Drosophila melanogaster: one gene and its partner. The protein of the gene in region 1 interacts with the protein of each later gene in a pairwise test. Each region holds a gene or a part of one and is shown on either strand. Other genes may lie near its edges. The genes, in order: Gdi and mEFTs.

Region 1 (17,832 bases):
AATCTGACTTCCTCTTGAAACGAAATATTTGTATGATTCCAAGAACGTTCAGTTTCTTCGAATTTAAATATAACATAAAAATACTTGAATAAATTAAAAGGCTTAATCGCTTTACATTACGTGAATGCTGGTATTTGCGAAGGCTTATCATTTCGAGCATAAGTTCTTTAAATCATCAATGAAAAACAAAAGAATAACGCCCAATTGGCATTTAATTTAATATCCAATCAGCGAAGAACTAATTTGTGAAGCCATTTCGAATGGCAAACTTGCGGCAATGGCGTAATACAAATACCAAATATGTATATACATGTGCATATATGTACATACATCCGATTGCGGTGTCTATATATGTACGTTTTATATTTGTGAATACCCGCAGAATATTCAGTGGGCACAAGAAAGCTAAAAATGAATTTGGCACACGACCGAGTTTAGCTATACGTTTTCTTTATACGATTTAAATTAGTAAAATCATTTTGGGCAAATCATAAATCACATGGTGAAGTAAAACTTTCTTTGTTGAATTTTTTTTTTGGGTTTAAATTCACTTTTTTGTAGTTCTGCGCGTAGTTTTATAAGTCATTTAGCTTTCATTGAATTTTTGACTTTGTCATGGCTGAAAACCATAAAAAGACGCCCCAGACAAGAATATGAAAACCAAAAAGGAAGCCAAGTGTAATAGAGAAAAGAACGAAACTTTTACCATGTCTGTCTGCGACTTTTAATTTTCCTTTCTTTCCGTTTTACGAGCCACAAGAAAAGACTTTCGAGTGCCAAAACTTGATTTATTTACTAGCCCGCGATGGGTTAAACGACCTCAAGAAGGCGGCGTCCAGACTGATAAGTTTACTCCTGCCCCGGCTAATTAGTGGAAGCCCCTTCAGTGGCCAACTTCAAAGTGCATTTGTATCTGGATGTGGACGTATCCGTATCTGGCTTTTAGCTTTTGCGGTTGTCGATACTTCCACCGGCAGCAGCAATAAGAAAAATTGAAATTATTTTTAGCCACGCACATGCGAAATAAAACGAGGAGATAAACAATTCCATCAGGCCAAGCCCAAAACCGGGTGCGATTACCACAATCGGTATCAAAATAAAAAAAAAAATCAAAAAAAAAAGCGAAGAGAAACGGGAGCATTACGATACAGATAAAAATAAATGGCGACTGTGTTGTAAAGTTCATTGGATTTTCAATAGCAACAAAACACAGATGCCAGATGTCCAAGATGCTCGTTTGTCATTGTTATTGAACTCGGGCGAAAAACGATTGAAAACCCAATTGACGAGGTGAAAAACTCACTTAAGAATCGCCCAGCAAATAATATTTCAAATCGCTTGCACATTTCGCATTTTCATTTAAGTGCTCACTTTAGTTCATTCAATGGTCGACCTTGCATTGAAACCACATTTATGGCCCGGTCAATTATAAAATAATTATATATATGTACATATAAAATGGGCAGGCGAACAATATGTTAAGTAATTATTATAATTCGAGGCTCATATCTCTTTTTGGATACAATGCTAAGTTTAAGTCTTTCAAATATTATTGTATATGGGTCTCAAGTTTGCAAAATTAATTCAAAACAATTAAAGGTCGAGACTAAAGAGTTCAAAGGTAAACCATTATTGAAAACTCAATGCGCAATATGAAATTGTTTACCAATTGTTTCACGTTGTACAATTATACAAATCTATCAAAACTTGAACTCAACCATTTGGCGAAAAGGTGAATTCGTACCAATTGTTTACAAATACAATGCGCAGATATTTCAAAAATGAATTTTTTTTCAGAATGATTAATGCATTGCAGAACTTGAGGCACGAAAAAAAAACATTGAAATTGAACTATTATTTGTTTAAAATTTTTTATGAATGTCATTTTTTGTGTAGTTTGCTCTACTTGCATATTTATTGCTCGTACTCGTCATTAAGTTAAAAGCTAAATTAATTATTTATCGGGTTCAAAAGCACTTCGTTGGCAGCTGTTGTGCCAGTTTTCCAGTTAAGATATTAATGTTCGTACAACGGGGCGTATAATTGATATAGCAATCCGAGTGATGAATAATTATTTCGACCGATAAGAACACACATTAAAATATACAAATATACAAATTATAGTAACTGCGCAGCGCAATCGTTTGTTTAAATTTCTGACTTAAATTTAAAAGTGCTTCGGATCTCAATAAACTATTTTGTAAATTTCAACTGGCATGTGGTATATAAATGTTATCAAGTCAACTAGCGCGACAAATTGCACACAAATCTTCAGCTACATATACTCTCTATAAAATCGTTCGTATGCTAATTCTGTTGGCCGCCTAATTAAGGCATCTTTGTGAGACTGAACAATGGAGTTGAAAATATACGATGCTTCGGCATTTGACATGGGAAACTTCCAACACTCTGAGAATATTCGCGCCAACTGGGCAAATTTCAGGCTAGCAAAAACGAAACACCCATCTCCACAAAGGGGCAACAAGTTTCGCAACTAATTAGAAACTGTTGACGGGGGCGCCTCCACAGCTTGCTATTGCTATCTATTCAATTACATCGTCACCAGTTGACTGACAGGGTTAATTTTTTCAGATGGAGCAGAGGTCGTGACGTCGAATCGCAGTTGGGTATTAAAAAAAATATGTATATACTCTAAGCAAAAATATATTTAAGAGCCTAAAAACTTAAGAAATAAAATAATATCTCCATGTGATTATTCATTAGTAGCAACCGTTCATAGTGTTACATCTTTTAGAATTTAAGTTACTTTGTCATGTTGTAAAGTAAATCTTGATGTTTTCTAGTGTTGGTCTTGGTCTATCTTAACTATAATCTATCGAATTCACGCGTCTCAGAACTCACGCGCTCATCGCTAACTAGACAACAACTGTGCACCTACACTTAATATTCGTTCTGATTGAAGCTTTGACCTAAGCAAAGCGCCCGAGTCCAAATTAACATACTAATGTATTCAATTATTCGCATTCCCTCCTAATTTACCACGGTGCCAGCAGAGATCGATTGGCTTTCGATACGAACTAAGTAAGTAATAAAACAATAGGCCCTTGCCTGTTGCCCCCTTTTACACCTGCTCAATCGCAAGTCATTAAAGTTAATGGCAAAAAGTTGGGTATATAGAGAAGTTGGGTATAACAGAAAACAAGCAAAAGTACTTCGTTTTCTATGAACCAGAAAGTGCAAGACAGTAAAAACAGCCAATGATTTGAGACGAAAACAAGAGTACTTCTAAAAAAAATTATTATTCTTTAAAGTAATAAATCAATAGGTGCATATAATATGTACTTCTGATTGGCGAAAATCGGAGATTGCATTATAAAAATCCAAGATATATTGCACACTATGCGATAAGGAAAACAGCATTAACTTAGCCAACAATGAGATCATATTGATGTTGAAGGAGATCCATTGTTTGTGGTCAGCATAAATGCACAGTTTTATAGAGATACACACAGATGTTCTCATTACTTGTTCTTTGATCTTGTTTGGTAAACACATGTGATTTCCCTTTATAATATTTTTAGAATTTGTCAACGTCTGGTGTTTGGCAATAAACAAACCTATTATATGTTTACATAACAAAGTACGGCAACTTATTTGTAAAATTGTACACTTAGGTTTTTCAAAGGGAAGTGGAGACTCGCTTTACTTGTCACAAACAAAGCAACAAAGAAACTTGCGAAAGATAAGAAACACCTTATAAATTAAGTGATAACCGATAAGGCACAAATCATAATGACAGCAGGGAGTTTTACGATCCCTATACATGCGAATCGACTATACCCAATCGCATATTTTATTATCCATTCCATAGCCGAAAACTCAATTCGCAGTCGAACCATGAGAACGCAATGTGTAATCAATTAAGTTAGGCCAGGAATAAATAGAAAAAAAAGTTTGCTTGGAGGGCCAGCGATTGCTACAAATAAACCAAACGTGTGACTACGCCACTTGAATGTTCAGTATGTGAATATAGTTCATATATGTGTACATATGTATGTAGTATATAGTACTCTGACAGCTGACGTAGTGATAAGGTAACGTAGCTAAAAAGCCACGCGATGTGGCCAAGCCACGTACTTCGTGCACCCAGATACATGTGGCATTTTCGCCGGAATTGGTTTATCAAAACTCACGCGTTTATACGAACAATTCTGAATTACACGTATTCGATCTGCAGGAATGATAACTTCTTGTAATAGGTCCATACCCTTTAATCATTGACCGTAAGGTTAACATATTTGTTGAAGAGTATGTTACATGTTATATTCCAAATTCTTTTTCAAGTGTTTATTATTTCAATTTAATTCAAAGCGCAAGATAAAAATATCAGAAGACCAGTAATAGGGTATCCCGTAGTCGAGGCAATCAACTATTACGTTCTTTTATGTGTCATTCCTCTAAATGGAAGTTTTCGACTGAAACTCTATGATTTACCCTTAAATTTCAAAATGGATTGAATAAGAACATAAGTACATATTTCTAAATCAAATGTAATAAGATTTAAATCTCATAAAACAATCTCAAACAACTGCTAAGTGGTTGGCTTAATAACTTTGATGATTGCGTGCACACATGTTGTGTGACTAGTATTTAGGCTAAACAATCATTAATTAGCTGATCGTCGGTATTGGATTATAAGGTCGGGATCAATTTGGGTTAGAAAAGCATTTAAACAATGCATAAGCATTAGTACGTTATGCGATTTCAGATTAACAACTTTACTTATGAGAAAATCAAGACTAAATACAATTTCGTATTAATTTTGTGCTATTTTAATGGCGTTAGGTGACAACTGTATGAGACACATGGCAAACAGTGGGTATATTTCGGCTATAAACATCGAATGAGCACTAAGCCAACCATAATCGGCGGCGTTAAACTGTAAAAACAGGAGATAAGTCGACTGCTTCCGCTGTTTCGCTTTGTTTCTGTCTCTGATTCGTCTTTTTGCTATTTCGCTTCGACTGCATCGCGAATTGCGGATTGTGGACTGCGAATCGGAGTCAATTGCCTCAAGCTCTGTCTTAACGGTACCTGGAGCAAACGAGAGCGATGGAGCGTCATTGTTTGGGGGGAAGGAGGAAGAGTGGGGGCGTGCGAGGGAGAGCGACTAATAGATTGCATGAAGCAGAGACAAACGAGCAAACAACGCATCAACAAACAGTTAAAAGTTGTTGTTTGCTCTCTGTCTTTCTCTCTCCGTCTCTCAACTGCAATTAGCAAACGAGTAACGTCAACTACCGTTGAACTCAATTGAATAGAAGACGAAAGGGAAGGGAGGTTGATGAAGAAATACCCAAAGACACCGTACAGTGGGTAAAAATAAAACAAAAAAAGGTCTTACAAATTAAATTTACAACACGAAATTAGAGTAACCGCTCCTCTTTGCCCCTTACAACGAATAAAATGCAGAGCAATAAAAAGAACGGCTTGGTGGAATTTTAAATATGTCACAGGTAAGAGAAATTATTTTTTCCCGCCAGGTAAGCAACGGAAATTTTTAACAGCTGCTAGCATCCACCGAATTGCTGATCGGCAACCATGTTTCCAATTTAGTCTCAACATTTCAGTTTAAATCAGCATGCAAAACATCTATGTATAAAACTCAGTATTTATTTTATAATGGCGGCAGATATTTATTCTTATTGATTCTACGTTCTATGTTTAATAGACACCATTTTGAAATTTAGAAAAGTTGTGAAACGTGATGTTAAATTCGAATTCAATTTTACCGTCTTAAGAAAGATGTTATGTCTCTAAAATATACCCTTAATATATGATTTTAGATGTATTATATTTTTAACCATGAGTGCCAAGGAAAACTAATTTTTAGCTCAAAATAGATTTTTACAATGTGGGGGTCGGTTTCACACCGACCTCGCATTTCACTTGCATTTTCTAGTCCCACTGTGCGCAGTGAGGCCAAGCATCTTTACTGCATTACAGTGCAAACGAATCCAAAGCCGCAGAAAAACAAAAAGCAAAGTTAAAACCGCGACTGTTTGAATCTATTTGCCTTTTATCAAATGCCGGTAAGACAAAGAGAGAGAGAGATAGAAGGGGAAAGAGGATGGAGAAGCCAGAACGATCGGAGGCTGTGTGAATGAGTGAGCGAGATGGATGCGAGCAGGTAAAAAACCCGTCGTATATTTTGGGAGGATGGGGGCCGAGGGCGGTGGGCGGGGCAGTTGGTCTGCAACGCCTAACTGGTTCTTGGCAACCAACTTGTTTTTTCTGTAGATTGCCGCCGTCTGTGCTTTATTATGTTTTTTCCCTCCGACTTTATGCCTGTGCAATTTTTAATATGGCAACTTGATTTAAACGAAAAACTTACCCAATAAAATCGTAGACGTGGATTTATGCTTGTTTTTCGATCAATTCAATTGCCTGCGGTTATTTTATCCTTGCCTTCGTGGGGGTTTTGTTTTATATTTTTTGTTTGAAACTATTTTTACACGGGGATGAAAACAACTTTTCAGCATGGCAACAATACAAAAATGTTGCAGCACATTCAAAGCAACAACAAGAACAACAGGGAGGTAACATATGATAACCGAGGTCAGGCGGAAAGTGTGAGCGGGACAGGAGATTATCTTTTTGTTTTCTATTTTGTATGTTTCCTCAGCGAAGGAATTACAATAAATAATTATTTCCCAAAGACTTTATTTCACTTGGAGCACAGCATAAAAAATCCCTGAGCCGCTCACTTTTTCACTTCCTTTTGTTGGGGTTTTCGTCTTTTTTTTCGAACTTATTTTTTGCCACGAACTCGAGGTTTGGTTTGTTGTTGTTGCTAAGAATTTCAATACAATTATGGCCCAAATAGCATTTTCACTTTTCCACACAAGCACGCAGCCACCGCACGCACACACACTCACACAAGTACACAGTTGTTTGGCTCCGTTTTAAATGAAAATATAATCAAACATTTACATTGCCGTGTGTTTTTGCTCCACGAAAATGTATGATTATGTATGATTAGTTTTCCTTGCTCGCTGCACGCGCGAAAATCCGACGAAACAAAGAAACAAGAAACGACGCGAAGAGAACGTAACAACCTAAATAAACCCGATACAAAAATCGCGTCCGAATCGGCTCGTCGTTTCAACCAAAATCACCAGTAAAACTTTGCAGAGGCTTCGGGATGATGTGGCCAGACTCGCTAACTGTGCTAACAGCTGTAAGAAGAATGCCCCTAGTTTCGGAATAAATGTCTATCGTGTCTCCGATAATAAATGTACGCAAATGTTGGTTTTCTTGAAATTATTACATACATTGAAAAGTCTAATTGCTTATATTGTATTCTCTTTAAAATAAAAAGTAATGAACGAATGCGTGAGATATGATATAAATAGAGATCTCCAGTAACTTAAAACTCGATAGGTAAACAGCGTTCAAATACTGTTTACAATAATTGCTGAATATCTTTTTATATTTTATATGATCGATCTGTGAATCCTCCGTTTTGTTATTTTATAATGTCTTGCTTTATGCAAGACCAACACATGCATTTAACAAATTTAAATTGCAACTATAAATTTGCGCGCGCGACATGCAGCCCTGAAATGTCAATAATCTAGGAAATAAACTTTTGCAAAATCATAATCAATTCAAAAATCTTGCACACACGTCTCTAAATCTTTCGTACATTAATGCTCTGTGTGCAAATTAAATATCTTATATGCTTGTTTGGTTATTTCCTTATTTCCATGTACAATTAGCAGCCGATAGCAACTCTTTCTCATGCAGCCCTGGGCATGTACGAAAACGTAACGTAACGTGACCAGCAAACGGCGTGACGGCAAACGGGCAGCGCAAAGCGGACGAGCGAAAGGCGAACGAGTAGAGAAAAATTATTGAGCGCAGAGAAAAGTCCACCAAATCGAACGTCGCAGCAAGTGAAAAGGGCGAAAACCGGATAAAAAAAATATATAAATTACTGTGATTGCAATATATAAATAAGTGCGATCCAATATGAATGAGGAATACGATGCGATTGTGCTAGGAACGGGCCTCAAGGAGTGCATCCTCAGCGGGATGCTGTCCGTGTCCGGCAAGAAGGTTTTGCATATTGATCGAAACAAGTACTACGGCGGCGAGTCCGCCTCGATAACGCCGCTGGAGGAGCTCTTCCAGCGCTACGGACTGGAGCCGCCCGGCGAACGATTTGGGCGTGGCCGCGACTGGAACGTGGACCTGATCCCCAAGTTCCTGATGGCCAATGGCCAGCTGGTCAAGCTGCTGATCCACACGGGCGTCACCCGCTATCTGGAGTTCAAGTCCATCGAGGGCAGCTACGTTTACAAGGGCGGCAAGATAGCCAAGGTGCCGGTGGACCAAAAGGAGGCCCTGGCATCCGATCTCATGGGTTCGTTAATAATGCTCTTTTAAGTCCCGTTGCCTTTTTGCTTGGCGGTGAGCCCCCCACGAAAAATTGTGCAAATTACCAGCTGTGCTTGTGTGTGTGCGTGGTTGTATGTATGTATTTTCGTACTCGACTGTTATCTGCTTCCCCTCTCTCGCCCGCACCACTCTCTTTCTCTTCTCTTCTTTGTCTGCCTTTTCACTCGCTGGCAAAGCTCTTGTTGTTGTTATTCCCTTTTTTTTAATGTGACACGTATGTGTGTGCCGAAAAACAGTTGTTTTCTTCGCTCGCCAAAGAATTTCTACCAAAGTTTCCCCCACACATATCCATTTCCACACCATGTTTGTTGGCCCAACTATTATCGCCCTATTCCGATTGGAGTCGAAATTTTAATCGCTCTGCGCTGATTCATACACCTGCCGCTAATTGGTCGCCTCCATTTTACACCTGAATTTCGCTTTGTTTGAAATTTAAGTTTTTCCCTCTTCTTCGTGGCAGCAATGCAATTAGCTAAAACACGCTCTATTTATTTATGATTGGCTCTTGAATTTTTCCATTTCAATTTTTACTTAGTTTTTGCAACCAGGTTTTTGGCCAGGCGCATTGAACCCCCTTCACTTTACAGTGGAGATTGCCTATAAACGAAAACATTTCATGACTTTAGATGTACTACATTTTTTAATTTTTGTCTTTAATTATCAATAATTTGCATATAAAATAGAAATTTTCAATGAAAATGTGACTATTAGGTAGATTTTACTTCCGTTTGTAACAATACCTATTGGATGTCTCAATTTGCTAATTGAAAGTTAAACACCTTGTCCATGCTTCACTGTGTCCGCATTACACATATGCTCGGAATGACGTCATGGGGTGGCCAAGTGGTTTCTGATTGTTGGTGGTGTGTCCTCCGCCCCCTAAATTGAAGGTTTCCCACTGTAGTTGCGTGCTGTTGTCCCAGTGAGTGTCTGTATGTGAGTGTTTGTGGCATGCAAATGAAATGGAAACGGGAAACTTGAAACCCTCGGGCTCGTGCACTCCCTTTATATGCAGATCCTGAACCCCAAACTGACCAATATGGCATTATGGATATACATATATAAATGTGACTTTACTTGCAGGTATGTTCGAGAAGCGTCGCTTCCGGAACTTCCTCATCTACGTGCAGGATTTCCGAGAAGATGACCCCAAGACCTGGAAGGACTTTGACCCCACCAAGGCCAACATGCAGGGTCTGTACGACAAGTTCGGACTGGACAAGAACACGCAGGACTTCACCGGCCACGCCCTGGCCCTTTTCCGCGACGATGAGTATCTGAACGAGCCGGCCGTGAACACCATCCGGCGGATTAAGCTCTACTCCGATTCGCTGGCGCGTTACGGCAAGTCGCCCTACCTTTATCCCATGTACGGCCTGGGTGAGCTGCCCCAGGGATTCGCACGTCTGTCGGCCATCTACGGCGGCACCTACATGCTTGACAAGCCCATCGACGAGATTGTCCTCGGCGAGGGCGGCAAGGTGGTGGGAGTGCGCTCCGGCGAAGAGGTCGCCAAGTGCAAGCAGGTCTACTGCGATCCCAGCTACGTGCCCGAGAAGGTGAGATTCACAAAAGATTTGTGTAAACTAGCCTATTAGTCTTTTGGAAATAACCATGTATTACATTTCTTTTATGTGACAGGTGCGCAAGCGTGGCAAGGTGATTCGCTGCATTTGCATTCTGGACCATCCGGTGGCCAGCACCAAGGATGGTCTCTCCACGCAGATTATCATTCCACAAAAGCAGGTCGGCCGCAAGTCGGACATCTATGTGTCGCTTGTGAGCTCCACTCATCAGGTGGCCGCCAAGGGTTGGTTCGTGGGCATGGTCTCGACCACCGTTGAGACCGAGAACCCGGAGGTGGAGATCAAGCCTGGCTTGGACTTGCTGGAGCCGATCGCACAAAAGTTTGTAACCATTTCGGACTATTTGGAGCCGATCGATGATGGATCCGAGTCTCAAATCTTTATTTCGGAGTCTTACGATGCGACCACGCACTTTGAGACTACTTGCCTGGATGTGTTGAACATATTCAAGCGGGGCACTGGCGAGACGTTCGACTTCTCCAAGATCAAGCACGAGTTGGGTGACGAGGAGCAGTAAACGGGAATGAAGGCCTCATCTGGTTATGGTGCATTTGGACAGCTCAACATCAGCCACAAACATCGTAGATCGTCTCAGCGTCGTGGCCAAACCTTAAAAAAAAAAATACCCAAGATAAGAAAACCCAAAATAAAAGCCCAAAAAAACTAAAGAAAACCGAAAATCCAGAAATTGTATTACGAAAATGCTTTCCATCGAGAGATGAAGTTTTAGATGTGAAACGAATTGCTTGCTTCGCGCAATATTGGATATGCCTAGAAAATATATATATATATATACCAATATAACATAAATTATACAACATGCAGTCGCGTATATATGTACGTCTATATAAATGTATAACTAAGTGAGTGTTAGGCAACTAAATCAAATTCCACAGATTCAGCTTGTGACTCGAGCAAAAGCGCTAGACTCGACAAACACTCTCCCATTTCGCCGATAGGCCAGTCAGTCAGACGATTACGCTTGGACTTTAGTTGTACGAGTATATAATAAAGTATATATATATATATAAAATATGACATCGTATATATATATTATCTATGTATATTGCCCTTCTGCTTGGTTTTTCTTTCTTTTTTTTTTTTGTGATCCACCCAATTTGTGTGGCTGCCAAGGCTCCAAACGAAAGCATAACACATACCTATAAACACGACACAAACTCTTACACATGCATAGTGCAGCATTATAATTGTAATTGTAATCCCCAGAAAGAAATCGATGGTATTGAAAATGTAAAACAGTCGAAAAAGTTCATCGCAGCATATACCCAAAAATAATGCAATTGATCGAAGCGCGGCAAACGACATATAAAGAGAACAGAACCTAAGAAGTTTGTCAATGGTATAGAGAACTATGGTATTCCGCATTTTCAGAATTTACATTTTTAATAAAAATTAAAAAAATATAAACATTTTTTTTTTTATTTACTATTTTTATATTGAGGGATGTTATGTTTGCTTTCCTTTCCCCAAAAGTCTGGTTTCTTTTCGGATTAAGGAATCTTGTCCTGGAGTTTTTCCACCGACTCATTTTATTGAACGTTTTCAGTTTCCGGTTCCGTTCAAAATGTCACTTGAGTTTTATAGCTACCAGCTTTTTATATGTCCTGGAGCTTTTCACCTTTCACACAGACTCATTTAATTTGAGATTTTTAGTTCTGGTTCCAGCCAAAGTGGCACTGAGTTTTGACGTCTTCAGCTTTTGTAACAGCCAAATGGCGGCAGATTTAAACTACATCAGTATGCACTGCAGTCCACGTAGTGACGAAGCGCACCATAAGTGTGTGCCAAGGCGGCTACTATATACACACAGAGAAATGAAAATCTGCTGTTTGACAGATCCTGGAAGAATATGGAAAGGATTTAGACGTATTCTTTGAGGTGACTTAGGATGGTCTGGTCTGTAAAGGAAATGGAAGGGATCTGGCCTAATTCTGGGTGGGATCAAGGAGGTATCTGTGTGGTGTCTTGTTAGGAAGGGGGACCTCTTAGTATAGAGACTCGGTTGTAAATAAAAATCTTTTCCAGACTCGCCATCCAAAAGTGACGACGACAGTCCGGGCGTTTCAGAGTTTGTTAGCTTTTCGCCGGATTTGAATCACGCAGCCATAGGGTTATAGTTATGACCAGGACTCCTCGTTGCCTCTTTATGTGACACAATTACGAATTCCGCAGCAAGTGTTTGGGATGCATTTGAAATACTTGCCCCCTTCCCCTCACCCTACTCACTCCGCACAAATCACCCCTTATGGCCGTGGTAAGTGGGAAATTCTTATTGAATTGCATGTGGCATGCCACACGAGTCGAAGGCTAGTTCGCTCACTTTGGGGTCCTCGTTCTTCGTCCTGCATCCTGTCGATGGCCCCAGGAATGTGCAAAATGCTGAGAATGCCGCTCTCCATTCCTGTTAGTTTTAATGCTGTCACTGACAGTTTGTGTTTTTTTTTTGTCCGCACTCCACTTCACTTTGCCCCGGCTTTTATTTTCCCAGCCCGCCGACGACGACCTGTCCAACAAAATGCCGCCAGTATTTTTCCAATTTCCGTTTCCCAGAAAAGGCAAAAGTGCAAAGACGTTTCGCATTATTTCGCTCTTGCCCAGAGTCGTTGAACATTGAACTCGGTCGCAAGTGCTCAGCTATTCTAGAAGTAAGCCTTACGTCTAGGCATCAACTATTCAAACTGATTTACTTTTTTACAATTACACATTCGCAATTGATTTTGTGTATAGAAATTAAAGTAAATTCTATAAAATCCCAGCTTAGCATTTACAAACCTAACAAGAACTGCACTCATAAATAATTCTAAGCTGGAAAGTTTTTGAAGCCAAGTCCGATGGACTTATGCATTATATCATTTGACCTGAAATATTGGAAAATCTCCTACGAATTCCTGTCACATTTGCCATCTGCAACTCTCTAGTTGCGGCTGATTTGTCATCGCTCCGAGGAATGGGCCCTAACTACTTTCACCATCCAACCCCATCTATTGTGGCTGTTGTCTCTGGTGATGATGATGATGATGATGATGATGGCATGCGGCTGATGTGGCCAAAACACGTCGTAGTCCCGATGCTGGTCAAGTCTTTCACCACATTTTTGCTGCTCCTGCTTCCGTCTTGACTGTGGTTTACGTTCGCTCTTTTTTTTGTTTTTTTTTTTGTGTATTTGCAAGATGGGTCGAAGCAACGAAAAAAAAGGAAAACAACATGAAAAAAGCGTAGAAAAACCGCCGGAGAAGACCAAAATTTGTAACTGGGCAAATTGAAGTCAAAACTTTGGCGCTCAGCGCCGCATGCAAGTCACATACAACAGCGGGTTGGGGGGTGGAGTTGTGCTGGATTGGCTGTATAATGGGCGTGGCTGGGGGAAGGGGCTGCAGCAGGGCATTTGGGTGAAGATAAAGCTATGATGTCGACGCAGCACTGGCAGGCATGACTAAGCTGCCAGCCCCTGTCCAAGTCTGCATCTATATTCGCGTCCTTGTTGTTACGGCTCCTGTTGGCCATGGTCAGGCTAACGAGCCCAGCTCTTACACTGCGAGAAATCGAAGTTATTCAAGCAATCGTGATTGCTTACATATCAGGCATGTAATAATAACATTAGCTACTTTTTTAATTAAGTTATAATAATAATAATGTCTCTTGTTATGCTCCGAGTTAACAAACTTTTTATAAGTGTACAAACTGATAGATAGTAATATTATCTATAAAATTGATCTATAATTTAAAACAAATATTTATTTTCTGTGCATGGGATCTTAATGGGTGGCAAAAGTGGCACCGCGTTGGGCTCGTAATAACAGCCAACCGCAAAGGGGCACACACAGATACAAAACACACACGCACACACACGCCCAGAAAACAAAAGCAACAAAAAGATGCCTTTGGGGGTCAGTTGACGCTGTTGGAGCCATGATTTGGCGGCTTAAGGACTATGGACTACGGACTACGGACTACGGACTACGGACTACGGACTACGGACTTTGGCCATGTGCATTGGTCTAAATTGACGCAGTGGACATGGCCGGGATAAATCTCGCACACGCAGATACATGAGCATTAGGTCAAATTGAATATAATTCTTGGGCTTTCCTTACAGCGTGATGTGATTAATTATACACGTTATGAATATAATGCAGCCGACATGTTGTCTCCTTCGCTGCCATCATCGTCAGCCGTCTCATCATTATCCGCAACGACATTCTGCGCTGAAAAGCTTCAGACAACAGCAGCAAAGAGCGGGAGTGAGTACACTGGGCAAAAAAGATTTGATTGCAAGTTAATTGCATTAAATGAACATATCTCAAAGTTAATGGTTTTGCACATTTTTACGAAATTTTTAAAGTAATTAAATGAAAGGATTTTAATTTCTTCCGCTTACTTACATACCATATATGTGTATTATAATTAAGAAAATGAAATATTTGCACACGTTGCCCACTTTACTTTTACTTTCAGTGGAGTTTTCCTTTTGGCTGCTTTTCAATTACTTGCATTTCCTATTCCCATTGTCACGGCTGCTGTTGCCTTGCATTTTCTTGCCTTTGGCCCACGAGCTTGTCAACAACTTCATTATCGCTTGCGACACTGTGCAACATCATCCGCAACCCCAAAAACCCCACCACCACCCCCACCACTCAACTATCTCCTTACTAGACAAGCAAATTTAAATCAATTAAGTAATCTTATTGCCACTGCTGCAGCTTCTCGTGTTGCTCCTCTGAAGATGCCTTCTGCCCTTTGCCATTTCGCTGCTGCCTGCTTTTAGGCACTACAAAACACTCGAACATACACCGAAAAAATTTGCATTTGCCAAGTTTGCAATTTAGCTATGTTAAAGCGGGGCACTTGCATTAAAATTCACTCGAATTCAAATAAAAAAAATAATAATTTAAGAGTCAATTGAAAACGTATAAGATTTATGTGACACGATTTATGCTTGCTTTAGTTTTTCATTCCAAACCATGTGCAATAATCTCAGTTAATAGCTTATATAAATTTCTCTCTGTGCACAGACAAAAACATTAACACACGCCCACACTTTTTATGTGTCAAGCATTATAACTGTGGCCATTTCTTCACATGTGTGAACGTCTGGCTTTATGTGTGTTTATGTGTCTGTCTGCGTTTGTTGGCTGGCAAACTTTTGCTGTGTTGCATATTTTGTGCAGATTAATTAAATTGCTGGCATGAAGCCGGTAACCAAATGGTCTGGTGGAAGGCAAGGGGCTAAAACTGAGAGGGGGGTTGGGGGGCGGGAAACTCTTTCGGCAAACTACGCTCACAGAGATTGAAGTGCATTATTAAATGTTTTTTCTTAATAATTCATGGATGAGAAAACTAAACAACAACAACAACACTTTCTCCCTTCCCATCGTTGCTCGCATTTTGAGAAAAGTTCGGTTTTCGCAATTAGTTAAAAAGAGCGGCGTGGCAAAAGTTTACTTTGTTTTCAATGAACTCGGGGAAATGCTTGTAAGTAATTGTGGTTCATTACGTAATAAAATATTAAGTAACTGTTCAATTAAATGTCTTGTGTGTACGTTTATATTGACAATAGTTGTACAAACAAAATACTCTTTTAAAAGCGGTAGAGAAAGTCGTGTGTTTTAAAAAATTGTTTAAAAGGCTGAAAAGATACAAGCTAATGGCAAAGTTCTGTATATTTAGAGACGGTTTTTGTTTAAATTCTTTTTTTGCCAATTTTATACCAATCCCTATGATTTTTTGCACAGACACATGAAGTTGAATGTAATAAATATATGACCATGTAAGCTTACCACGTTTTCGCCAGTTAATATTATGTTAACGCTTAACAGAGAAACAAGAGAGTTAAATCTGTTGTTTCTTTAACATCCTTTTATTCGCCATTGATTCGTTCTGTTATTTTAACATGAAAAATACTGATGGGTGGCATAAATATCTATGCAGTTTGTCAAGAAGACAAAAGAAGACAAAATTTAGATTGTGGTTTAAATTGATAATGATTTCTTAAGCTCTTTCGTTGAACCATCCCTGACCATATATGGTTTTTGATTAAGTGACAGTTTATTAAATGAGCTTGGCGTATAACTTAATATAAATCACTTATGATTAATGGAGAGTAAGCCGATCTTTTGAAACCTTTTGCAGTGGCCAATACGAAAATGTTAAATAATGGAGCTGTAATAACGGGAAATTTACCCCTTCAAGTAGAAGCAGTAAGAAATCAAAGAGCTTTATCCCCGCTCTGTTAAGCGCCAGCTAACAGCAAAAGAGAATTTAGTGTTAAAGCGTAACATATGTTACGAACAGTAAGGATAACAGCAAACATTTTTACATTGGCTGATTATTTGTTCTTACAACTTTGTAATTTTCTATAAATATATCGTATTATCTCATTCGGTTTTAATTAGAGCCCAAAGTTAATTTCTTACCGGATAATCATAGCTTATACTATTTATGAATAAATTATTGAGTGCGCTTCTTTCCACATGTAAACGGAGACCAAGCATGGAGCCTTTACGCCCTTTTGCCATTTGTTAGCAATTAAATGTATTCACTTGACGAAGCAATTTTCCATTCACAGCTTCCAAAGACGTTTCGCAAAGGTAGCCTTAGACAATAAAAAGTCTTGGCCAACTTTTCATATGACCAACAATGCCTACGAGCCAAACTAAGGGCGTTGCTATGAGAAAGGTGGTTTGAATTCAAAAGAAAAATAAATGTATAGCCTTGGCATTTCAAAAGTTTATAAGAACGTATACATTTGCATTTTCGGAAGTATTGTTCATTGAAGTAGTTATCGTCCTTGAACGCATTTGCTTAACTTATTTAATTAACTTCAATTTCTTCTAACCGCTGCACGAAGTGATTCTTCGTAAGTCTTTTAAGTCTTGGATTCGGCATTTGATTCACGACGACTCACTGCCGATGTCTCACGAAGTGTCCTTCCACGGTGATAGTGTTGTAATCCGTCTTTTTAAAATACAACGGCAACTAGTGCATATAATCTAGTAGAATGATTTTGGGGCAAGGACTTTAATTTTGCTGATTTTTAGCTTAAAACATAGTTTAAGCTAGAAGCAAATTTCCCAAGAAATTCCAATTCCGCTTACTATGTATCTTCATTCAGCCGATTCGCGCAGCAACTGACACTTTATGAAGTATTTATCTTACTTTACCCAACGCTCAATGTGTTTGTTCTTATTCATGTTACCTGGCTTGTTTACAACTGTCACCAAAACCAACAGCACAACGCCGTGTGGACTCGTCTTTGCCATATTAAGTGCCATATAAATTCATTTACCCACACAGAGAATCGTCTTTTCACCCAGTTTTTATACGGTTGTCCTGGCATTTGCGCTGCGAATGCATTTTAAAAGGGCTTGCACGCATCGCACCCCCCCTTGCCAGCCCCCATAAGTATGCAATAATTTCGCCCTGGCTTAGGAAGTCGACTCCTGGCAATTGTTGCTCCCCTGGCCTGAGTTATATCGACGACGACAGACGGACTCTGCGACACTCTGTAAATTATCCTGCAAGCGGCACAAGATGCAATGGCCGCTTAATTGCCGTGCCGTGCCGATGCCATTATAACGATAAGCCACAAAAATGACCGGAAAAACGATCGATGCCAAGTAGGTTGTCTTAGCCAACCATGGCCTTTCAGGTTACTTTGTACAAAACTTACTTCATTCGAAATGGAAGAGAAACTAATGTGATTTGATTTTCTACTGAAGCATCAATCATCATGTTAGGGAAGCCATTTTCGATGCAACACAAATTAATTTCGATTGATTGATTTGATCAATATTTTTTTATT
Region 2 (15,947 bases), 8.0 Mb from region 1:
GACTTTCGTTATTTTCGTTATTTTCCTTATTTTCTTAACGCCTTTCACCCCCCACCCCCCCTGGCAAGACAACTTTGTCAGTTATTTTCATAAGATTTCGCGCGCGGTCGACTCAAAGGGCAATTCATTTCGTTTTTTTAATCCGCAATAAAGCCAAGGCATCCGTGAATATAAAAGTCCATATGTGGGGGCGTGATCCAGTTTGGTTGGGCGTAATTGCATGTCAATTGCACGCTTTTTTTGCGCCAAATGCGTTGCTGGCGGTTACAGGCAAGTTACACACAACACACTCGCATTCAATTATAGCAACTTTTTCTTTTACCCATTTTTTTTTTTTTTTGCCTGCCTGCCTGCCGCCTGCCTCCCTTTTTACAATGCGCACAATTTACGTGGCACTTGGTGCGGGTGTAATTTATTTTAATTAAAAAATTTGAATTTCCCACACGCTCGGAAGTTTCTAACTTTAAATTCCCGCCCTTCGCTTGCATTGGTTTTTCAACTTTGTCGAACCAAACAACGCATGCATTTCAATATCAATTACGCTACTCTGATTTTGCCTCTCAAAATCCATTTGGCTTAAGAGAAGTTGCAATTTCATCTGCATTGCTGTATTTTTTTCTTTTTTTTTTTTGCATAGAAAAAGCTAACGAAAAACGTGAAAAATGTTTCTATATTCTGCCTGGATTATACACTTTTAACGGATCAAAAGTTTCATTTGCCATTTATCGAATAGAAATCGAAGACTTTTATCGAATTTGACATTAGCATCATGGAGACTCACCGATAGCGCCAAAAGTTCGTCATGGATTGCACCTCCCGCCGCTCGGCGGTGTCGTATTTGCCACCCACGCCCTCCTTGGTTAGGCGATCGAGGACCGTGTGCCGCAGGACGAAGTCCACAACGGCCTTCTTCATGGCGAACACGTAGTCCGCCCGGACTTCGGCTATGTTTTCATTGAGTGCCGTCTGCCACTTGTAGAGCAGTGGTGGCACAAGATCGGTTATCCTGCAGACGGAAAGCAGTTAGCAAAAAAGCAGATACATTTGAAAGTGTTCAGTGGAACGCACCTCTTGAGGATCTTCTTGCTCAACGGCGACACGTGAATGGTGTCAATGCCATGCTTGATGTAATAGTAATATCGCAGAATCTCGCGCTCCTCCTGGTCGGGAAAGGGTACGGCGCACTGGGCGGCCAGCTCGGGATCCTGGTCGTCGTCCATGTGCAGGATGAGCTCCACCAGCTTGCGGCGGAAGTGCTCCCGCTCCAGTCGCATGGTCATGTAGTTGGCCTTGGCCACGCCGCTCTCACGCTTCTTCTGGCGTTTCTTCTGCTGTTTCTTCGCGCAGAGTATGTTGTCCGGCAGGTCGGATTTCATCTTGCCGTCCAGCAGGGAGCTGGCGCATTCCGGCATGTTCAGTTCGTACCACAGGCGACGCGACTTGTACTCCGGATTGGCCTTTGACTGCAGGATGCTCTGCAGCACATCCGGCTTGGGTCGCGTGTACAGCATCTTCGACTTCTCGCATAGGCGGCGACCGCCGCATATGGACGTGAAGCTGGGGATGCTGAACTCCCGATTCGGATTCTGTCTGCCCTGCATGTTGAAGCCTGAAATCGGTTCAACGTTCGAATCAAAATGTGACTACAGAAAATGAAAATTGTTTTCAATAATTGTTTTTGAAACATAAAACGATTGTATCCCGCCGAGTTATTAATCAAAGTACTATTTAAAGTAAAAAAAAACACTAAAATATTAATTAAGAAAATAACTACGTGCGCCAGAATTAAAAAAAAAACTATTTATTAGGTTTAAGTTTTAAATATTTGGTTTCAATCCATTTCGAATCGGTTGTAACCGGTAATAGGTTGTAACATCCACTAAACGTCATTTGGCCAACGATAGCGTCGCCACTATCGATAGTCGCTTCGCAACAGCTGTTCTCCGCACACGCGCCCTACCGGCTTTTTTGCCATCCCTAACAGCCGAATTGTGCAACACGGAAAATTGTCAAAATTTTCAGTTTCAAAATTAATTGCTCGAATTAAGCACACAGAAAAGCCGAAAACTAAACTATCGACGCTTACCAGTCGTTCACCTATCGAGGCACCACACTCGCTTTGGATTTATTCGCGCCGCAACGCGATTAATTTTTCTTGAACCGAAGCGAACATACGAAGGAGTTGAAAACAAATGCAAATCTCACACAGGCTTTTCCGTTGTTTAGAATGAATTGATTTTCCGGGCAACTACTACATAGCGACAGGTCGGAAAACGGAAAAACAAACAAGCCGGCGAGTTGCCCTTGACAGCAGGCAAAGAGCAACAATTCAATTCGCACACAAATCACGCTAGAAATCATTTTGGCCTCCCAGTAAATTTCGGAAATTTTTTGGAAAAATGCTGCTACAAAGGTTTTTCACACGCGCACTTCACTCCACGCGGCAGCTTTATGCCGGCTCTGGCGGATCCGGTGGCCTGGAGAAGAGTGCCCTGGCGGCGCTGAGGAAGAAAACCGGATACACCTTCGCCAATTGCAAGAAGGCGCTGGAGAAGCACAACAACGACGTCGGATTGGTGGGTAGTTGGCTAATAGTTTTATTGCAAGCGGTGCAGTGAGCTTTCCATTACAAAGAGCACGAAATGGGGATCTCTACATTTTGAAAAATTGCTGATTTTTCTATATTATTATGTAATATATATAGCTGCACCGCATGCAAACTCCTTTGTGATCAAAACACATCTGTGCTAATCAACTCACCTTGCCATCATCTCGCTCTTGCAGGCTGAAAAGTGGCTGCACGAGCAGGCCCAGACCCTCGGCTGGTCGAAGGCCACCAAGGTCGCAGATCGAGCCACTGCACATGGTCTGATTGGAGTGCTCATCCGCGGAAACCGGGGCGCCATGGTCGAGCTGAATTGCGAGACGGATTTCGTAGCCAGGAACGATACCTTCAAGCGGTTCGTTGACCACGTCGCCTGCATGTGTCTGCAATACACGGACTTGACGGACTTCGATGGAGATCTGTGGAAGGTGAGCGAGATTTTTATGGGAAATGTACACAATATTTGGATCAGAACCGGTTTTGCATCCATTCCTAAAGAAATTGCTAATTAAAGAATGTGCATATCCTTTCAGCTTGGCTTTGATGCGGACGCCCTCAGAAACTTGCGCACGGAGGAGGGACGCACGTTGGGCGACCACCTGGCTCTGCTGATCGGCGCCATCGGGGAGAATGCCACCATCCGGCGCGCATTGTGCTTTAAGGCTAACAACGACCTGAAGCTGGTGGGCTACGCCCATCCCGCACCCACCAATGTGGGCACCACGGAAGGCATCACCCAGGTGGGCAAGTACGGAGCGATCGTAGCCTACCGATCCACGCACCCCCTGCTGGACTTTGAGTTTCACAAGAGCATTTGCCAGCAAATCGTGGGCATGAAGCCGACAAAGATCGGCGAATATGACAAGGACAAGCCGGCGGAGAACAAGGACGATGAGACGTGCCTGATTCACCAGGAGTATCTGCTCGATGCGGACAAGACGGTGGGCGAGGCTTTGCAGGAGCACAACTGCGAGATCGTCGACTACCATCGCTTCGAGTGCGGAGAGCACACGGAACGCAGCCTGGAGGCGATCATTCGCTCGCAGCACCAGAGCAGCAATTAACTAGCCATTAAGCAGAGTCTAGAACACTAAATTGTTATTAGCACAACAGCTGAAGATTGTTAAAACCGAAATTCTGGACAATGTTCTGGTCAAAATTTGCATGTAAAACAAGTAAAACAACCATTACGATCAGATCTCCACCTCTCTTATTTGAATACGCCATACCCCATGAGTCATGGCAAAAAATTGGGGTGACCAAGGAGAATGCGCCTGCGCAGAACGGGAAGCACGCTTGAGCGGCTTCCGGTCGCTGAAGCAGTGGAACCCGCGGGAAGAACGGGCGAATGGACAACGCCAGCAGAATGAACTGTTTACAAACGTGTTTTTTTGTTCTGCTTCCCGTAATTACCCACTTGGTCATGCGATAGCCCAAAAGAAAGAGCAAAAAGAAAGGTTTTTAGCTTTGGGGGCAAAGGCAAAAACCAAGTGAGGGTTGGGTATGCCACTTGCTTGGGGCTCATGTTAAGGAAATGGGAGTACGAGTAGATTTGGCCAGGGAGGAAAATCAAAATAGAAGAAATGGTTTTCCAGCCCTAAGAAATTTGCAGCACTGAAATATTAGCTACTAAGTAGGCCTGTCAAATAAATCCCTTTCATTATCAACCATCGATCGTCGTTAGAGATTCAATCGCCAAAATGGACTACCTGGACATTGAATCCTTCCGCTCCAGGTACAGCGACATAACCGTCACGGCCGTGCCATCGCGCCCCAAGGCGGACGAGGAGCCAGCAATGGACACCAACCAGGAGCTAGCAATCAAGACGCATGTGCCACAAGTGGAGATAACGAGGGTGAGTGGAGCCGCTTCTGCTGGCAGTAGCTCCACTGCGAATGCAGCGATGATGCTGCGCAACAGGCAGCAGACAAACAGCGCCGCACTTGCCTACGCCAACGAGTACAAGGAGGTGATGGCCAAACTGGAGTACACCAAGTACATGCAGGCCCAGTTGCAAATAATGTCGGCGGCAAACGGAGGAGGAGGTGGTTTTGGCATCGACTCCGATCTGTTTGGCACATCTATAGGTAAGCAAATTGATAAATGTAACAATAGTAGTGGTTAAGACCCCACACTTTGCAGGTCTCGATGAGAACGCCAACATAGTGGACAAGTACTCCGATCTACTCAATGTCCTGGGGGAAATGCGCACCAATGTGCCGACCACGATGGCGGGTTTAAGGGCACCCAAGGAGCGCATGCAGCGCGATATAGCCCATGCCAGGCTGAAGGTGCGCCAGTGTCTTCAGCTCCTGCAGCAGGCAGAGGAGGAGACCGATCAGACTGACTTCCAGGGTGCCCCAGGCCAAGTGTGACGTCATGTGCATATGTACGTATGTACATCTCTGCATTGTTAACGACACCTCTCCGGGATTGCGAGTGCCACGACAATAAAAGACTAGAATAACAAAAGCCATCGGGGAGTTCTGGGAAGCCTCGCTGTTTATGGGTACGACTATGATGGTGGGGCGATGGTTTTGGAATAGCCAAATACTATGGCCATGTGACGGCGATAGTAGTAGCCGGCATTCTGACACAAGCGAGCAGCGAAGCGCGAAACTTGTCCACATGGATGTGGAGAATGCTAACCAACTGTTGATATCCTGTAATTGGTTTAATCAATTATTGAACTCATACGAAATGGGGTACTTACCAATGATCTGATGCACATTCGTACATCACTTTTTTAAATATCTATGTTCCTATGTTCATCCCTTTGCACGTATGTATATTTACTATGTAAGTATTCTTATTGTTTTTAAAGAATGTGTTATGCACACATGTAAGTTAAAATTTGTATAACATTTCCGTTGATGATTGAAATTCCTACCAATTCAAACCTGTTAGTCAGTATTTATTATTTTGCAGACATGCACTTTCCACATCTGGAATTTGCAACTAATGCCTGGCAACTGTAATTATCCAACTCTTTCTCATTCCGTTGGTGTACAAACACTTATAATTGTTACCTACGTACATATTTATAATTAAGCCGACCCAATGGTCGAGCATACCCTTTCAAATGTTGGCCATGGTCAAAGTGGAACTCGAAAGGGTCACATTCACCGACGTCGGCAGAGAAGCATACATACATAGCAAGTACATGTACATGTGTATGTCTGTATGTTACACTTAAGTACGTATGTATGCATGTATGTAACTGCGATCGGAGCGCTTCAATTGAAGTTTTTCACGTTCAGTCGCCAGTCGACTTTTCACGGGTTAAGTTAGACGTTAATGCCACCGATCAGCGAGCGGATCGCACGACTATATCCTTTTGTTTGACTTCCGCTTGACGTTAATTCGGGTTAATTTGTTTGGAAAGTGCGCAAATAAAGTTGCAGTGCCAAAAGACGCGTTATCACTTGTGTGGCGCTCTCTTTTTCCCACTAACGGTAAACTGTGCGAAGAAGCGCGCGAAAGCGAATTGCAAAAAAAGGCGGCCAAACAAAGCGAATGCCAAAAAGGTGACAGCCATAAACACAACAAATAGTCCGCGAAGTGCGAAAAAGTTAATTAGATTGTTTGCTTTTGGAGTTGCAACAACAATTGCACCTGCCCCATTCCATTTCTACACAAAAAAGAAACAAGCGAATACTCTAATTTGCATTGTAGCGCAGCCGCAAATTGGACCACAAAAATGCCGCCGTTTAATTTCATCAAGCAGGTGAGTGCAAATTAATTAAATAGGTGTTGCCACATTTTATGGCGCGAAATAATTAATTAAGCGCTTTGCGGCAGAAATCTGCGCTGGCGAGATGCATATGCAGCTGAAGCTGAAATCGATTAAAGTTAGGTAATCAAATCTACATACATATGTACATACAAAGGATATTTAGTGCTAACTTGAAGTACAGTGGTAACTCAAAGGGTGCACGAGGATAAGGAAGTGAACTTTAAGCCAAATTGATAACTTGATCGTGCTAAAATGAATTTATCCTTAAATCATTCGACATCTTCTTACGCATTAAATTCATATTAATTATTGCATCAACATGCCACAGGTGTTATCAAGTCTATCAAGGTAATGTCTCTGATAAGAGCTCAGCACTCCCGACCTTGCATCTTCGAATCAATTAATTGCAGATTCACTACTGTTCCAAGAATAAAAGTGAGCTGGGACAAACAGATAATTAAGAGCACACTTCGTGTATCTTCACTTTCCGTTCAATTCGAGACGATGGATATTGGATACCAATTTACCATATCTTCGAAAGACAAGCGGCACACAAAATACGTGTCTAAACGTCGCACTCCAAACAAAGAAAATGTTATACGGGAAATGGTAAACCAATTTCAAATGGATTCGGACCAAGACTAATGAAATGCACAACGAAAATGGATTCATTCGTGGCGCCCAGCTGGAGACCCCGAGATGTGGTGACCCCAAAAGAGATTATGCGTAATTAAGCGGGCTTCTGGCGATGCTTGAAGATAGCTTCCGGTGATCAAATGTCAGAACAGAAACGAGATCTTGGGAGAACAACGACGCATTAGCACGAAACCGAAGAAGCAGCATCTACATATAAAGCCAAACAAACCCATAAAGGTGGGAAGAATTTCTACGCAACTGGTGGCCCAACCCGTCCGCAGCTTTCTTTATGTTTTTTATGGCTTTTTCCCCACTAATTTTGTTTTGAATCTTGGTCTTGGCCGATGGACAGTGGTTGGTTCAGTGCTACAGATTATGATTATAGCCCGGCTATCTTTTAAGGGCCTGCCTAATGAATTTCCATGCAAACGCTTTTCCCAGTCGTCGTGTGATAATTAAGACGAATGACCCCTTAGTTAGAAAGTTATTGCAGCACATCTGCTGTGTTTGTGTTTCTGTATCTTTGTGTTATTTTTTTTTTTTTTTGTTAAATATATTATCTCAGCGCAGCTGAACCCGAACCGAATCTGGTTATATTTGCATTATTCAGTTTTTAACTGAGGGTTAATTGCATGTTAAGTAACAGTTAAGTAACCGTTAGGCTGGATTTATTTGCTTATGACTCCCAAAATGCTCAGCTTCCAGCGCAATTGTTGTCCAACTTTTCACTTCCTACGATTTGAATGAAGAAATTATTTTTGAACTCTTCGTGCTTAATTCACCCACACTTAACTTTTTTTTTATTTTATTTTTTTGGCGTGGGAAGCCTACAATACCAAATTGCGGTTTCGAGTGGCAAACAAAAAGCGGGGAAACAAAAACGACAAAAAAAACTGGAAAACAACATTTGCGGTAGCTACTTCGTGAAAAGCGCAGCATAACTCGAATGCGGCTGTGGAAAATCCAATTCGATTTCAATCCAAAGATCGAACGCCTTTCAAAACTATTATGATTTGTGGTCTCCAGCTTTGTTCCCGCCTATCGCAGCTAATTAACCATTTATTAATGCTAAATCAAAAGCACTGCCAGCCAGTCAAAACACCTGTTATTGTTATTGATATTCGGATTTTGCCATCCGATCTGCCGACGTGTTTGGCCTCATAAAAGGCTACAGGTGGCAAGAAGTCCAATTAAAAAGAGCGTTGTTGCAACGATCTTCTTTTCCTGGAAATATAAATCCTTAACATAGCTTTACTTTAATTAGGTATTTCTTTGCTAAACATCTTGATTTACTTGTCTATCGCGCAACGTAAGCTAATTTGGCCTAAAAATAATTTTAAAAATATATGTATATTCTATTTATCTTGTTTGAAATCTGTAATTATAAAGAAATTATAAAGAAATATGGTTAATATAAGTTATTTCCTTTAAGCTTAACTATAAGTATCTATTAAAATACAGAAAATAAATGCTGTAACTTGTATAGATACAACTTTTAATTGTTCAGTTGCTAGCCATCCCGTTATGTGTGAGTTATGTTAAGTTATACGTTTTTTATGTCTTTATCAAGTGTCGGGTATATATTTAAAATGTCATGTAAAAATCGTTTTTCGTCAGTGATATATGGCATAATATTTCCAACCCACCTCCACTTAACAATACATCGATCATGCCTCAAACTGCCAGTGGAGATTCCCCCCATTGAGAGGAGTCTGTCTGGGACCTGAATCTAGACCAGAATCTGGATCTGGAGCGGCTGGCAATTAATGTGGTCTGCTTTTAGCCCGAAGATCGAGTGGCCACTGACAGCAGCATGCTTGCCATTCCTTGGCCATCTTCAGAATTGGCTAATGAAAAGGCTGGAAAAGAGCAAAGATCCATTGGCACAATCACCGCTAGAGGAAAACATTGGAAAACAATGAGAGAAAAAATAAAAAAAAAATAAGATTCAAAAGCGGTACTTTGCCGGCTGGCCGTTTCCCGTTGGCAGTTGCGGAAAATGAAAATGCCACAAGTCGATGTTGCATTATTGTGGCGCTTTTCAGACGCTTTTCCAGACTTTACGTAAATGTCGCGTGTGGCCACAAAATGGTCTTAATGTGTTTCTCGCAACAATGAGAGAGGCAAACAACAATCAAATGGTTTGCTGCCTTTTTTTCGGCTTAAAAGGAAAAGTCAATTGGCCTGGTCGTTCGTCTTGTTGCGGGTTGACGTGTGTAATTATCATAAATCGTAAATTGCAATTTTTCATCATGCTAAAAGTCGCACATTTTCAGCTGTATACAAAAAAAAATGCTTTGCATTTACAATTTACATTTTCATATACAATTGCTTTCATTTTTTAGTTATGTTTCTCGCCATTTCCCCAGTTCACGCCTCAACCTCAACGGTTGATTGAACTTGTCAGAGTTTTGAGTTGGCCAGAGTTGGGGAAAAAACATCATGGAAACATGAAACATGGCTAGCAAAGAGAGTTGTGTTTTTTGGTTGGTTTTGAAAGGCATCGCATTGTCTTGCCAAGATGCGGATACGTGGATATGTGGATACGCAGATACGAAGATACAAAGCTACAAAGATACACAGATACACGGTTCTCTGGGCCAGACCCATTAGTGTCATTCACGCTTTGGAACACACTGGAAAACCATTTCGACTCATTACCGAGTCATACACAAGACATTTTCGACTTAATTGAGTCGAAACTCGGCTCTGAATTGCTAAACAAATCGCTGCCAAATTGTTCCCCCGAAATAATTTAACCACATTTCTCCGGCGCAGTTGGTACACCCCATCCTCGATCCCCAAAATCGCCCTCCAGTCGTGTTAATTATGGCCATCAAATGACCGTCTGCCAATCTCCAAACATAAATCATAAAAGTGAGGACTCAAGCCAGTCGAGCGCGTCAGCTCGGTTGACAAAAGCCGTAGGAAACCCGAGAGATGCAAATCGATGGAATGTACAACACCGATGTGGACATAAGTACTTCCCCGCCAGCCGAGCTCCACTGTTTGTGCTTGATTGCCTGCGGAGAATGTCGGTGCAGCAGAAAGTGTGGAGTCAGTTTCTGGATACAAAACGATGAAGTGGAGTTCACCTGGTAGAAGAATCAATGCTCTATTAATGGAGCATCGAATGTTACTAGTTCTAAAAAGGTTTTTTACGCATTTAATGCATACTTACATATTCCTTAACGAACTTTAATGCTATAGTTCACATATTTTTGAATAAAGTTCAAGCTTTATGCAAAAATGCAAACATAAATGAATGAACTAGCAATTTCACTTATGATTTTTCAACACATTTCTGAAACCCTTTGATATCAAACTCCTGCCATTAGCTGATGGAGCCAGCAAAACTCGCTCACACAAGCAATTGTTAATCCGCAGAGAGCTAATAGAAGGAATTAGCAAACACCCCGTAAGAATTTGTTTAGACCCCGTTTGCCAGCCTGTTCCCCTTAGCCTTTAGCCCAGAACTCAGAGCTCAGAGTTTCGTTGGCCCAAGACCAAGAGCATGAGCCAGGCCAAGTTAAGGAAACGGCCAAGAAACCGCAACAAAGTGCGCTGCGCTTTCTGCTTTTCTCAGCCAGTTCGGTTGGAAACTGAAAGGTTGTGGAGAGGAAAACCGACAATCTAACTGATAATTTTCATTCATTTCTGAGTCACACAGTCAGTCGCTGGTGGTGCTTCCCACTTGCTCATTTGGCTCGAAGCTGTTGTACAGCGATACACCAAAGCTGGCCTGGCCATAAACTTGGAGCGCGGCATTTCGAGGCGGCCAGTCTGCAGTTGGCTTTCTGCTGGCAAAGACGCTTCGCAAGAGACTCGGGAAAATCTGCTGTGGAAAAAAAAGAACGCGAATCGCGAGTGTCTGTTAAAACGAAAACGAATCGAATTGAATCGAATCCAGGCTAGCATTTGGCTTAACTTTCAGTTTCGCCTCTATTTTGGCTACGTTTTTTGGGATATCAACACCCCCATTCAAAATTTTTTTCGAATTTTATGTATCGTGATTTTTTGAGCGAACCGATCGCTCTCAAAACGCTGCTGCGTGTGTGTTTTTGAAGTGAGTGTGCGGCAGCGACATTCGCTTTTCAAAAGCGCTGGCAAAACGAAAACTCGCAAGGATTTCACTTTGAGCTGCGCTGCTGCCGGCTTCCATCGGAATTGCCATCGGTTTTGTGGGGAGGGGGAGACAAATCAAAACTAGTTCAAGGCAGCTGTGCTGTATCTTTCAGATACAGATACATCCGCGCACATGGAGCTATCGCTGTCACCAAAAGAAACGGTAACTACAGGCTTTTCATTATGCATATTTCGCGTCTCGAATCTCTCCCATCAGCTCTCCTATATTTACCAGTATCTTGGCCAGCCTATACAAGTTTATTTAGCAAGTTTCAGCTGTTAATTACGAGCTGGCAATTATTTGTTTATCAATTACAATCAATTTTAGCGCCTGACGATGGTGTTTGCCCAGGTCTTGTAAGAGATTTGTTGACACCATTATTAGGGGGGAAATTAATAAAGATTTTCGCAAGGAAATTGACAGTCTTTTATTTGATTAAATCAATTGGGCAAATCACTTGCGGCAAATTTAAAATTAATGTATAATTCCTTGTAATACTCAATACTTCTTCCTTAAGTAAAAAAAAAAGGGTTCGATTTCCAAATGAACTTCTAAATTTTCATACCTTGTGCAGTAAAAGTAAGTGTGGTCCAAATTCTTCAAATGTTTAAAACCATCGATGGCCAGCAATTAAACTTTTGAGCATCATCCATCAAGTTAATAGCCTTACCGCAAGGAAAGTAAAAATTTAACACAATAGCTGTCTTAAGATAGATGGGTATCTGAAATTATTTTTAACATTCTATTCAGAACATTTCGGCGATCAGCTTTCGCTTAGATTAATGCTGATAATTGGCGGCTGTGAAAGTCTCTGCTGAAAACAAAGTTTAAAAAAAAATGTTATAATTTGCTAAGCGCTTGACAGAGAAAATTGACTTTTTGTGAGAGAGCATGACAAATGTAGTTTAGCTGTCGGCAGCGAAGATCAATCAATCATGATGGAGCCAGAGAGCTGGAAAACCTGGTTAACCCAAGCGCCCAGTTAAAGTAATCCGAGTTATTTCACCATTCGCGCAGGCGACAATTAAAATGCTTTTATGTTATGTGGTGTGTGCAGCGCATTTTATGCATTGCTTATTTATGAGCAGACCCAGTAAAAGGCAGTCATTAACTATTGTGATTTCCATGAAATGTCATTTGGTGGGAGTAGCAAACGCTGCCAGGCGAAGCATGAACTCGTCTTTGGTCACTGAGCACGCCACCATGTAATCACAAATGAAACGCGGCACACCAGACTCCGATGTCAAAACATTAATTAGCCAAAGAGGCAGCCTGCCTATTGACCCCAAACCGCTAGCCGAGATCACGATTGAAATGAAGATGAAGATGAAGATGCAGTGCGTCTGTGCCTATTGTATGCGTATATGCAACCACTTTCCACTTTGCTGCGTTCCATAAATAAATAAAAACCTAATGTTCGACGGCGGCCAACAAAAACTGGCTGCACCACCAACGTGATGTGGTTGGATGTGGTTCACGGCCCGCCCCTGTTCACTTTTGGTTTTCACTATCACTTGCGCCTCCTCCAATCGGATGCAGAGCACTTCTGCAGACGGGTTCGGGTTTGGGGTTTCTGGTTTTCATTTTTCTTTTGCTAGTTTTGAGCAATTTCTTTATCCTTGGCGTTGTGTCTCAAGTGTCTCATGACAGCAACAATTGGCGATCGTTTGAAAGGTGTTCAATGTCGTGGCAAGTGCTGTTCATGCAACCTGATTGTGACATTGTCACCAACTTGCAGTGAAAACGGGAGCACTGAATGGTAATTGCACATGAAATTTCGTTTAATAAACCTGACTTATTCGATTGGTTCGAGTTGCGTGCCTTTAAGTTGAAGTGCATAATCTCAGGAAAATCGAGAAAAGTAGCCAAGAAAAGGAGTGTCTTTTTCCCATGTAATTTTGAACTCTATTTTCGGACTAAATTAGTAAATTAAATCATCATACGACTGTGTTCCCTTCATAACATATTAAATAGAATACGTAACATCATAATATACCATTAAATAGCATTAAATTCAATTGAACGATCTAAAAATCTTATTTACATATTTACATATTTAAGGAGATCCGTCCCAACACCATTCCGGACTTAAAGGTGGATGCCACATTTCGGAAGGTGGCTAAACATGCGATTACCTTTGCGATTTGGAAGATAGACGAGGATCGCCTGGAGGCGGTACAAAGATCACATTATGGCACCTTCTACGATAGCTGCGCCTACATTATCTATGCAGCAAGTTTGTCGGGGCATTATGCCAATCACGAAACCATCGTAAGTAGTTGGTTTGGCTTGTGTTTCAGCAAGGTTTTAACTAATGCTCATGTTTACAGACACGCGAACAGAAGCCGAATGTGAGTCTTGAGCGATATATCCACTACTGGCTGGGCAAGAATGTTAGCGAGCAGAATCGATCCAATGTTGTTCATAAAATCCAGGAGCTGGACTCGTATCTGGGAAACATATCCTCTATTTACCGAGAGACCCAGAATCTGGAGAGTGCGAGATTCCTTTCGTATTTCAAGAAGGGTTACGAGTGAGTTAAAGTTCTCTGTTCTCTCTCGCTGGGAAGGGAAATAATACAGATTTCGTTTCAGTGTTCGATCGGGAGCACTAATAAGCGCGCCCCAGAGGCCACGACTTTTTCAATTGTACGCCCGCAAATGGTTGCGATCCATTGAGGTGGCCACCATCGATTGGTCGCACTTTAACTCGGATTACGTAATGGTCCTGCAAACGGATAATCTTACCTACGTCTGGATAGGGCGCTCCAGTTCAGGAATTGAACGACGAAGTGCCCTCGACTGGGTCCAAAAGCACTGCAGTGGATCGCCAATCACTATAGTCGATGATGGATATGAGCAGGCCATGTCCCAGGAGCACAAGGAGCTGTGGAACACCATGCTTCCGCTAAAGAAACGCATGGTCTGTCAGGCCAGTCAGTTGGTCAGCGAATACGCCGACTACAATAGCAATAAGTTCCGCATCTATAAGTGCAATCAACGGGGAAGGCTGCACCTGGATCAATTGGATGTGGGCATGCCAGCAAAAGATGATCTAAGCGATGCCCATGGAGTCTATTTACTGGACAACTACGGCCAGAGTATTTGGTTGTGGGTAGGAGGCCAGGCACCGCAGGCAGATGCCCTTTCTGCCATGGGAAATGGGAGAGCTTTTGTTAAAAAGAAGAAATATCCGGATAATACGTTGGTGGTGCGTGTCCTCGAGGGTCACGAGCCCGTGGAGTTTAAGCGTCTCTTTGCCAACTGGTTAAATGTTTGGCAGGAGAACACCAGGGGACATAAGCCAGTGTCCACAAAGTTTGGAAAGCTAGATGCCCATTCCCTATGCGAACGCCCTAAAATGGCTGCAGATACACAGCTCGTTGATGATGGCAGGGGTGAAAGAGTAATCTATCGTGTCTTCGGAGATCAGGTGCAAGAGGTGCCCATCTCAAAAACGGTTGTGTTCACCACCAATGCCAGTTTCGTGGTCAAGTACAGCGTGCAGGTAAGATAATAAGCTTAAGTTCTGTGTACAATCCAATAAATTCACTTCATCTTCAGTGCGCCACCGTTGTTCCCGCAGATTTGGCCTCCGTTGGCATTAAAACAATCATCTACCAGTGGAATGGTTCGGAGGCCTCTGTAGAGTCCATTTCCCGGGCGGACAAGTTCGCCAAGGCCAGTTTTGATGGGCTCAAGGAGCCTGGAATGTTTGTACAGCTCTATGAGTTCGATGAACCACCGCACTTCCTTCAGATCTTCGAGGGAAAACTTATTATCAGGCGCGGTCAGCGTACCGAGATGCCTTACAATGGTAACTCCAATGCCTTGCTGGACACCTTTCTGCTGAAAGTTTATGGCGATGCTAGCTACAATGCCAAGGCTGTGGAGGAGACACATCTGTCATCGATCAGCTCCAAAGATTGCTATGTGATCAAAACGAATCATGTTTGGGTGTGGTGCGGGCAAAGTAGCACGGGAGATGCCCGCGAGATGGCCAAAGCAGTGGGAGCTCTGATGGGGGAAAACTCTCTGGTCCTCGAAGGCAAGGAAAGTAAGGAGTTCTGGCAATCGGTGGCCATGTACTTCAACCAAACTCTAGTGATCAACGGAAATGGGAACTCATGTTCCAGCAGCACCAGTAGCAGCAGTGGCGCCGGCAGCATGTGCAATGGTAGCTCCAATGGTGGTAACATTTCACCCACTCTCAGCAATAATTGTTACCTAAACACCAGTGTTCCGAGTAAACCGAGACCTCCTGTACAACTATTTCTGGTATGGTGGCAACAGAGTTCGCTGAGATACGAGGAGATTCTCGGATTCGATCAGCAGGATCTCAGTTCGGATTGCACCTATATTCTGGACACTGGGAGCCTCACCTACGTCTGGCTGGGATCGCAGGCCCCAAACCAGGAACGCTACACAGCGATTGCCCAAAGTTATGTCCAAAATGCTCCATTCGGACGCAGATCAGCGACAGCGTTGGCCGTGGTCAGGCAGTTTCAGGAGCCAAATGTTTTCAAGGGATTCTTCGAGTCCTGGCAAAACGATTACGGCAAGGTAATCCATAACAAAAGGGCTCCAAGATTTCAAATGTTAACCAACTTATTTTGTATAACTTTAGAACTTCCATTCCTACGAGAAAATGCGCAAGGATCTGGGAAATAAAGTGACCAGCAATTGTTGCTTCGCAAGCGAAGGATCGGCTCTAATCCTGAACAACAGACAGAAGGACTTTGATGGTCACAAAAAGTATCCATTAACCGTGCTCATCCAGGAAATGGATATGCTGCCACCAGATATTAATCCGCTCAAGAGGGAGGTGGGTTCAACTAAACATA

The links.
Region 2: the proteins of Gdi (region 1) and mEFTs interact in a two-hybrid assay, tested with the Drosophila melanogaster proteins (one large-scale study listed by BioGRID).

The regions. Positions count from the first base shown.
Region 1 is NT_033779.5:9,484,779-9,502,610, reverse strand, and holds Gdi (GDP dissociation inhibitor), read left to right. Parts: upstream 1-7,734; 5' UTR 7,735-7,995; coding exon 7,996-8,389; intron 8,390-9,507; coding exon 9,508-9,983; intron 9,984-10,065; coding exon 10,066-10,527; 3' UTR 10,528-11,435; downstream 11,436-17,832.
Region 2 is NT_033779.5:17,487,121-17,503,067, reverse strand, and holds mEFTs (mitochondrial translation elongation factor Ts), read left to right. Parts: upstream 1-1,961; 5' UTR 1,962-2,399; coding exon 2,400-2,576; intron 2,577-2,784; coding exon 2,785-3,033; intron 3,034-3,138; coding exon 3,139-3,669; 3' UTR 3,670-3,800; downstream 3,801-15,947. Other genes in the region: Dhc36C (dynein heavy chain at 36C), read right to left, coding at 782-1,006, 1,069-1,601; CG15142 (uncharacterized protein), read left to right, coding at 4,306-4,693, 4,749-4,981; qua (quail), read left to right, coding at 11,237-11,266, 13,166-13,375, 13,435-13,637, 13,687-14,611, 14,668-15,666, 15,731-15,928. UniProt on the Drosophila melanogaster protein: Associates with the EF-Tu.GDP complex and induces the exchange of GDP to GTP. It remains bound to the aminoacyl-tRNA.EF-Tu.GTP complex up to the GTP hydrolysis stage on the ribosome.